2 linked regions of the Macaca mulatta genome follow. The protein of the gene in region 2 interacts with the protein of the main gene of each other region in a biochemical or structural test. Links are inferred from orthologs where the notes say so. Each region holds a gene or a part of one and is shown on either strand. Other genes may lie near its edges.

What was found. The genes of interacting proteins can lie anywhere in the genome.
Region 1: the proteins of WWP2 (region 2) and DVL2 form a complex in vitro, tested with the Homo sapiens proteins (2 studies listed by BioGRID, with this or other methods). The link is inferred for Macaca mulatta from reciprocal best matches to the Homo sapiens genes WWP2 and DVL2.

What each region holds. Positions count from the first base shown.
Region 1 is NC_133421.1:8,718,375-8,722,120, reverse strand, and holds the start of DVL2 (segment polarity protein dishevelled homolog DVL-2), read left to right. Parts: upstream 1-1,136; 5' UTR 1,137-1,421; coding exon 1,422-1,615; intron 1,616-3,746. Other genes in the region: PHF23 (PHD finger protein 23), read left to right, coding at 1-61.
Region 2 is NC_133425.1:65,564,681-65,568,165, reverse strand, and holds the end of WWP2 (NEDD4-like E3 ubiquitin-protein ligase WWP2), read right to left. Parts: intron 3,247-3,485; coding exon 3,150-3,246; intron 2,933-3,149; coding exon 2,860-2,932; coding exon of another isoform or gene 2,856-2,859; exon of another isoform or gene 2,827-2,855; intron 2,504-2,826; exon of another isoform or gene 2,433-2,503; coding exon 2,333-2,432; 3' UTR 552-2,332; downstream 1-551. UniProt on the Homo sapiens protein: E3 ubiquitin-protein ligase which accepts ubiquitin from an E2 ubiquitin-conjugating enzyme in the form of a thioester and then directly transfers the ubiquitin to targeted substrates.

The DNA of each region.
Region 1 (3,746 bases), on a different chromosome or scaffold from region 2:
CAAGGAACTGAGGCCAGAGGCCCGGCGGTTAGGGGGGCCTCCCAAATCTGGAGAGCCCTGACGGCACCAACTTTAGCCTGGAACTTCCAAATGATAACATGATTTGGGAACTGAGCCTCAGGGTCCTCAGCCTACCCCCTGGAGCTTGGATACTGTCCGCACTTCAAGGCAGGAATTCCCAAGGGAGACTTGTTTGAAAATGAGTGTCTCACTTTCCTACCCTATCCGTCCTCCCCACTCTGAACTTGAAATTGAACCCATTACGGTTGCGGGTGGGAGGCTGTCTGTGTCTCTAGACACATAATCTCTGTCTCTTGGACCTGCCACCATCACTTTCTGGGTCAGGATTGGAATTGGGATGGAATGGGACAGTTGTCTATAAAACTCTAGTGTAAATATTAGCACTCCCCTCCCTCATCTTTTCTTCTATTTCACTCCCCATTTATTTTCTTCTACACCGGTTGTATTTTTAATTTTGGACTTCCCCTACTGGGCATGGCAGCTCAAAGGTGGAGTACTAGAGCCTGGCCAAGCAAGGAAGGAAAGCAGAAAGGTGACGATTCTCACTCACCTCTTTTTAATAATATTGGCCGCTGTTTGTACAGACAGCCTGCGTGTTGTGAATAAAGCAGAGTGGGCTCTTTTGTGTTTATAGCCCTCACTGTCCTGCTTGGGAGGGAGGCTTTGGTGGCTGAAGACTAGCTGGACGTGGTGCTGAAAGCCACCTCTCACAGTCCAGTCTGAAGATGGCACAGCACTGGGCCTCTCCCACCCCAAGATACTTGAGTAAGCCACCTCAGAGCTTTCATTGTATTTGGCCCTCCCCACTCGAGTCTAGGAACCCCCACAATCCCCACCTTCACTCCCTGCACGCACACTCCTGAGGGTCAGAGTTGCTTCGCGCTCCCGCCGGTGTGGGGTAAAGCCGGGTGGGAGCCGACTGTCCGCTTCCTGAGGGCACAGGCCAGCTTATCCTGGGTGCTCGGAGGACCTCGGCTGGGGTACACCTTTGGGGGCTGGGAGACCGTTGCCGAAGGCAGCGATCACGTGGCGGGGGCACTAGGAGGAGTCACGCGGTCACGTGACTGGGAGGGGTCACGTGACGGGGGCGGCTGAAGAGCGCGGGGTGGGCGGGCTTAGGTCACGTGACATGAGGAGAGGTGGGCGGGGACCTGGAGGACGCTCGCGTTGTCGGTGGCGGTGGCGCGCGGCGGCCGCTGAGACCGCGGCTTTGAGTCGCACCTCGCGGCCCGCCCCCCGCCGCCACCCTTGCCGACCCCTGCTTTTTTCCCTTTGCTTCTCTCCAGTACTGGGTCCGTCCTGTCCGCGCTCGCTCGTCGGTTTGCGGGTGTGCGCAGGCGCGGCAGGGGCCATTAGCCCCTTGGGTGGGCGGTGGAGCCCGGGAGCGCGCGGGCGAGACCATGGCGGGCAGCAGCGCTGGGGGCGGTGGGGTTGGGGAGACGAAGGTGATTTACCACCTGGATGAGGAAGAGACTCCATACCTGGTGAAGATCCCTGTCCCCGCCGAGCGCATCACCCTCGGCGATTTCAAGAGCGTCCTGCAGCGGCCCGCGGGCGCCAAGTACTTTTTCAAGTCTATGGATCAGGATTTCGGGTGAGCGCAAGGCCTAGATAGGACCGACGGGGGCTTTGCTAGAGTGGATTGGGCGACGTGGAGGGGCACACATCTACTTCGGGCCACACTAGGATTTTCTGGCCTGTGGTGGAGCAGATTGTACCATGCTGAGGTAGGTTGACTCTCCCAGGATGGACAAGGTTATGCTTGGATAGATTGAGGCACACGGGCAGACTAGGATATCCTAAACCAGATTAGAGACGATTAGGCTCTACTGGAATAGGTGGGGGCATACTGGTTTATTTTGGAGTGTTTTAGACTGTACTGAGTAAATTCATTTATCGTCTGGTCGTTTAGTACGTTCTCAGGAGTCCTGTAACGCCTGTAATCTCAGCACTTTGGGAGGCCGAGGCGGGCGGATCACGAAGTCAGGAAATCGAGACTATCCTGGCTAACACGGTGAAACCCCATCTGTACTAACTAAAAATACAAAAAAATTAGCCGGGCGTGGTGGCGGGCGCCTGTAGTCCCAGCTACTTGGGAGGCTGAAGCAGGGAGAATCGCTTGAACCTGGGAGGCGGAGGTTGCAGTGAGCCGAGATCGCGCCACTGCACTCCAGCCTGGACGACAGTGCAAGACTCCATCTCCAAAAAAAAAAAAACACCAAAAAACAAAACAAAACAAACTTGGGCCATTATGGACTCTACTGGGCTGTATTGGTTAATCCTGGTTTATCTTGGGGCAAGACATGGTTTTATTGGAGCACTCAGTATGGGGGCAGACAAGGCTGTTGGTGCCCATGCTAGTACAGGTAGCTGTATTGGGGTATTCTAGTCTATATTGGTGCAGACAGCTAGCTGCGTGTGGGGACATTGTAGGCTGTGCTAGAATAGATTGGGCTATCCTAGGGTAATTTGGACATTCAGGGCTATCTTGGACTAGATTGGCATGTAAATAATGCAGAGAAAGCCCTTTTGTGTTTATGGTCTTTGGGGCTGAGCCCTCTCTGGGTCCTCAACCTCTGCTTTTTTTTTTTTTTTTTTTTTTAAAGACAGAGTCTGCTCTGTCGCCCAGGCTGGAGTGCAGTGGCTGATTCTCGGTTCACTGCAAGCTCCGCCTCCCGGGTTCACGCCATTCTCCTGCCTCAGCCTCCCCACTAGCTGGGACTACAGGCACCCACCACCACACCTGGCTAATTTTTTGTATTTTTTTAGTAGAGACGGAGTTTCACCGTGTTAGCCAGGATGGTCTCGATCTACTGACCTCATGATCGGACCGCCTCGGCCTCCCAAAGTGATGGGATTACAGGCGTGAGCCACTGCGCCCAGCCCAACCTCTGCTTTTTTGAAGGCAGGCTGGATTAAGTTGAGATAGCATGGGTTTTAGAAGAACTGAACAAACTGGACTCTAGCTAGAAAGATTGTTTGACATGGGAAGGGTGATACTATCTTGGGAGTTATCTTGGCTTTAAGTCAAGGTTCTTCTAGTTGTCAGCAGTGCAATCTTGGACAATTAATTTAAATTTTGTGTCTTGATCTCGTCTGTGACATGGAGAAAATCACAGAATGAAATGGTTAGTTCAGGTGTGTGGTACATGGTAAATTCATGGTGAATGGTAATTGTCATTAGTATTGAGGCTGACTACTCTATAAAGGTTATGGTGATACACAGTAATTTGTCTTAAGAGTGGACTGAGCTATGCTGAGATTGTGTTATGTTGGGAAGAATCCTACATGATGCTGACACAGATTGGTAGTGACTGGGCTGTGTTGTCACATTGACAGCAAATGGATTAAGTTGATATATATCCTGGCTCTTATGACCATATTAGGCTAACGGGTTAATTAGACAAGGTGTCCTAATTTGGCGGCAAGGGTGTGTGTGGAAAGAGAGAGAGAAACAACCAGGGCAGAGAGTCTGATGCTTTATATGTTTATTCATTTAGTTGACAGTATTTGTTAATGCCTAAGTGTCAGTGTGTGGTGTGTGGCCAGGACATGGTGTTGATCAGAGTAAGTGTTCATGGTTTGATGTCGTGGTCAAGAAGAAGGGGCAAGTCCAGTCCACCACAGGGAACCCATTGGAGAGATGACCCCAAGGCTGGGCTTTGGGATCTGTCAGGCTGAGCAGATTGCTTCGTGCCGAATTTTGTGCCAGATGAGGCACAGGG
Region 2 (3,485 bases):
CGGGGCCCTGCTTGATCCATGACAAAGTCACTTCCTTGTCAAATGCTTCAGGACCCATCAGCATGGTGATCTGTCAAAACCAAAAACAGTGGGTGGCAAGCCTTTACGTGACCCTGAGGTCAAGATCACAGAGTCCCTCGACCATCGACCGTCGTGGAACTTGCGAAACCTGAGTATTTCCTGAATGAATGACTGCCTAGAACACTCTCCCTGCAAGCCAGTTTCGGAAGCCCCAACCTGCAGCTGTTATTGTTCTGCACCCCACAGCAACTGCTTGGAGACCCCCCCGGGTCTGGCAGGGGGACGCAGAGGTCCCGAAAGGGTGCAGTGAGGTGGCCGATCAGGGGCTGAAGCTGGTGATCCTTGGGCCAGGACTCAGCTGCCCAGCCCAGAAGTTGGGGGCTGCCTCGGTCCATGACACACAGGCTTCTCAAAACCAGCGAGGTCAGGGAATTTCCACCCCTATCCAGGCCTGGAGGGTCTGTGAGGACCAGAGTCCTCTTGACTAGAGGACCACAGGTTTGTAAACATCCACACCAACACCACCCACAGCTGCTGATTGTTTATTGCACAAGAAACTGGCAATATCGAGGCAGGGGGCGGGTATTACAAAATAGTCTGGTGACCAGCCCATGGCTAGCAAAGGGCATTCCGTACAGACACTTCAGTTATATACACGTACGCACACACACGCACGAACACACACGAACACCCGTGAGCCTGATGCTTCCAAACCTCACCAGCAGCTTACGCCCTGACCCACCCTGGAGCGGCTTCCGTGGTGGCGTGCCGCAGGGAAGTACGGCAAATGACTGAAAGGGACAGAAGAGGTTGCGCTGTGGCAAGCTGAGCCACTCAAATCAGCACACATGACACAGGCAGACGCAGGCTGCACCTCCCCGGCCAGGGAAAGGTCGAGAATCTGGGAGCATGGAGACTGTGCTTGGAAGGTACCCGGGACCAGGCCAAGGGGCTGCCTGGGGTCCTAGAATCCTGGGGGCCCGGGCAGGGAGTCTGCCATGATTACTGCCCCAGCATCCTGGGGGGGCATGGTCATCTTGAAGATTTCAATGTGACCTGTGAAGATTCCAATTATGGCAGAGTCCCCGGGTTGGAGGCTGGTGGGAACTGCAGAAATCAGACCGGGCTATGCAGCAGGTCAGGGCCTTTCTGCTGGTTTCCACGTCCTGTGTGCAGATAAAGCACCTACGCAGAATGGACACTTTCCGCTGGCCGGGCCGCACTCCATTCTGAACAGGGGACCAGCAGGCCCACCTGGAACTCCAAGGGCTGACGGGAGAGCTCCACAGCCGGATCCCTGTGTCCCGCCACTGGGGACTGCCTGGGGGACCCTATCTAGCAAAGGGATTTCTTCTCTATTGAAGGCGGCAAGGCTAGGAGTGGCGCTCGGGACCTCAACCCCTCCCACTCTGCCAGGCTCGGGGACGAGGTCCCTGCCAGGCTGCGCCGCTGGGTCAGGCCCGCCTGAGCTCACGGAACCACCAGGCAGGTTCCTGAGACGCGTGGCTGTTTGGGAAACTCGTGGACCCAAAGGCCTGGGTCCCTCAAGGTCTCAGAACGCCTGGGGTGCCAACTCCTGGACAGAAAGTGACAGCAGCATAACAAAAAAAACTGCAACCCTACAACACAACCGCTTCAAGTTTATAAATGGAAAAAGAAAGTCTGAGGGAGTCTGCTGTTTCTGTCCCATGGATACCCAGGCAGCTTAGACAAACCTTCATTTGCTGAGAATGAATTAACTGACCAGCATGCGTCCTGCGACTCAGCCTCCATTGCTGCTGCCTGCTAGGGAGGCAGGCGGAGATGGCCTCGCCCCAGGGCCGTCGCCCTCAGACCTTCACTTCGTCTCGATCATCAGGCAGAACCTCCTTTGCTGGCAAAGACCCTTGGCTCTCAGTCCAGAACAGCCCAGCCCACCCCAGGAGCCGGTCTCCTGGCCAAACTAGTCCGGGAGGTCTTCGGCCTCTGCAGCAGCCCCTGGGGATGCAACACCTTCCCTTGCACACACACACACCCAGGGTGGGGTCTAGGGGATGGGGGAGAGTTTTGCAGAGAGGGTCACCCCTCTGGAACTTTGCGAAGGTGGGGCCAAAGGCAACTAGGGGGCTTTATTCCAGACTGCCATCCATGGGTGGGGGGAACTGCAGGGCCTCCTGGGATCAGGCTCTTCTGCCAGAAGCGAGATGATGGTGTCGTCCCACACAGGGCCACATCCACGGGGGCCTCCCAAGGGCTGCAGGGCCGGTGGCCTCCCAGGCAGGGAGGACTCAGGACTATGTGTGCACTGGGGGGTGTGGGGGGGCGGCCTCAGTTACTCCTGTCCAAAGCCCTCGGTCTCCTCAATGGCATACAGCAGCTTCTCTCTCAGCTGTTCGTAGCTCTTGTAGGGAGGAAGATCCAGACGGTTGAAGCTATCGAGAGCGGGGAAAGCACGACAGTCAGCCCCAGGAGGCCAGGGCCCTGACAGCCCCGCCCTGCCTGCCTGCAGCAGGGCCACAGGGCTTGCGCCACACTGGCTAGGGCTCAGGGGCTGCCAGTCAGGCCTTTACACTGCAGGTACCTGGACCATGGGGTGTTAAGGGAGGGGCCAGGACAGCTGGAAATTGGTTGGGGGGACACTTAGGGCAGTAGCTCTTGGACTACTGGAACAGAAGCGCTTCATATGTAAAACCCGGCAGATAAGATGCCCATCACAGCCCCATCTCTCCAACCCAACACCCCAGGGCCACGCAAAAGCTGTCAGACTCGAGGCTAAGAAGCTGCTACACCCACTGGGCTGTCCCAGGAGCTCATCGGGTCTGAGGCCCCCCGACGTCCCACTAAAACTAGAAGGCTCACCAGGTGTGGCTTCTGGGCAGCCAGGTTTCCTTGCCAACTTTGTCAATGCAAAACTTCTGTGGTCCATTGCTACCTGTGATCCAAGGTAAAACACACCCATGTCAACAGAGACGTGCCTTCCCAAAGCAGGACCCTCCGGCTCCACCCACAGATGGGCTCAGCCCCAGGACACAGAGGCCTCAGCTCTTCTCCATCCCACTGACGTGCTTCCAGGAAAAGACTAGGTTCCCCCCTCCCTCTGAGCTGTCCTCACTGCCAGCCAGGACACCAGAGGGCGAGAGAAAATGTACCGATGAGTTCAGCAAATCCGCCGATGGGCAGGCGGCAGGTCCCAGTGACAAACTGCAGCAGCCGGATCCTCTTCTCATTGTCCATCTCCTTCACCACCTGGAAGTCCGCAAGTCAAGGCACAGTCAGGCGACCCACGGGCCCAGTACTTAGCCCGAACGTGGAGCTCTCCAGCTCAGCGGGGCCCCTCTTTGGGGCTGAGGACACAGAGCCAGGTTGGCCAGGGGATGACAGCCCCCAACCTGAGAAAGCCCGGAAGTGCTCCTGCTAAGAGGCTGTGTCTGCAGAAGATTCCCACCCGTCCATGGGACAGCTCTGGGTCTCAGGGACACCGAGTA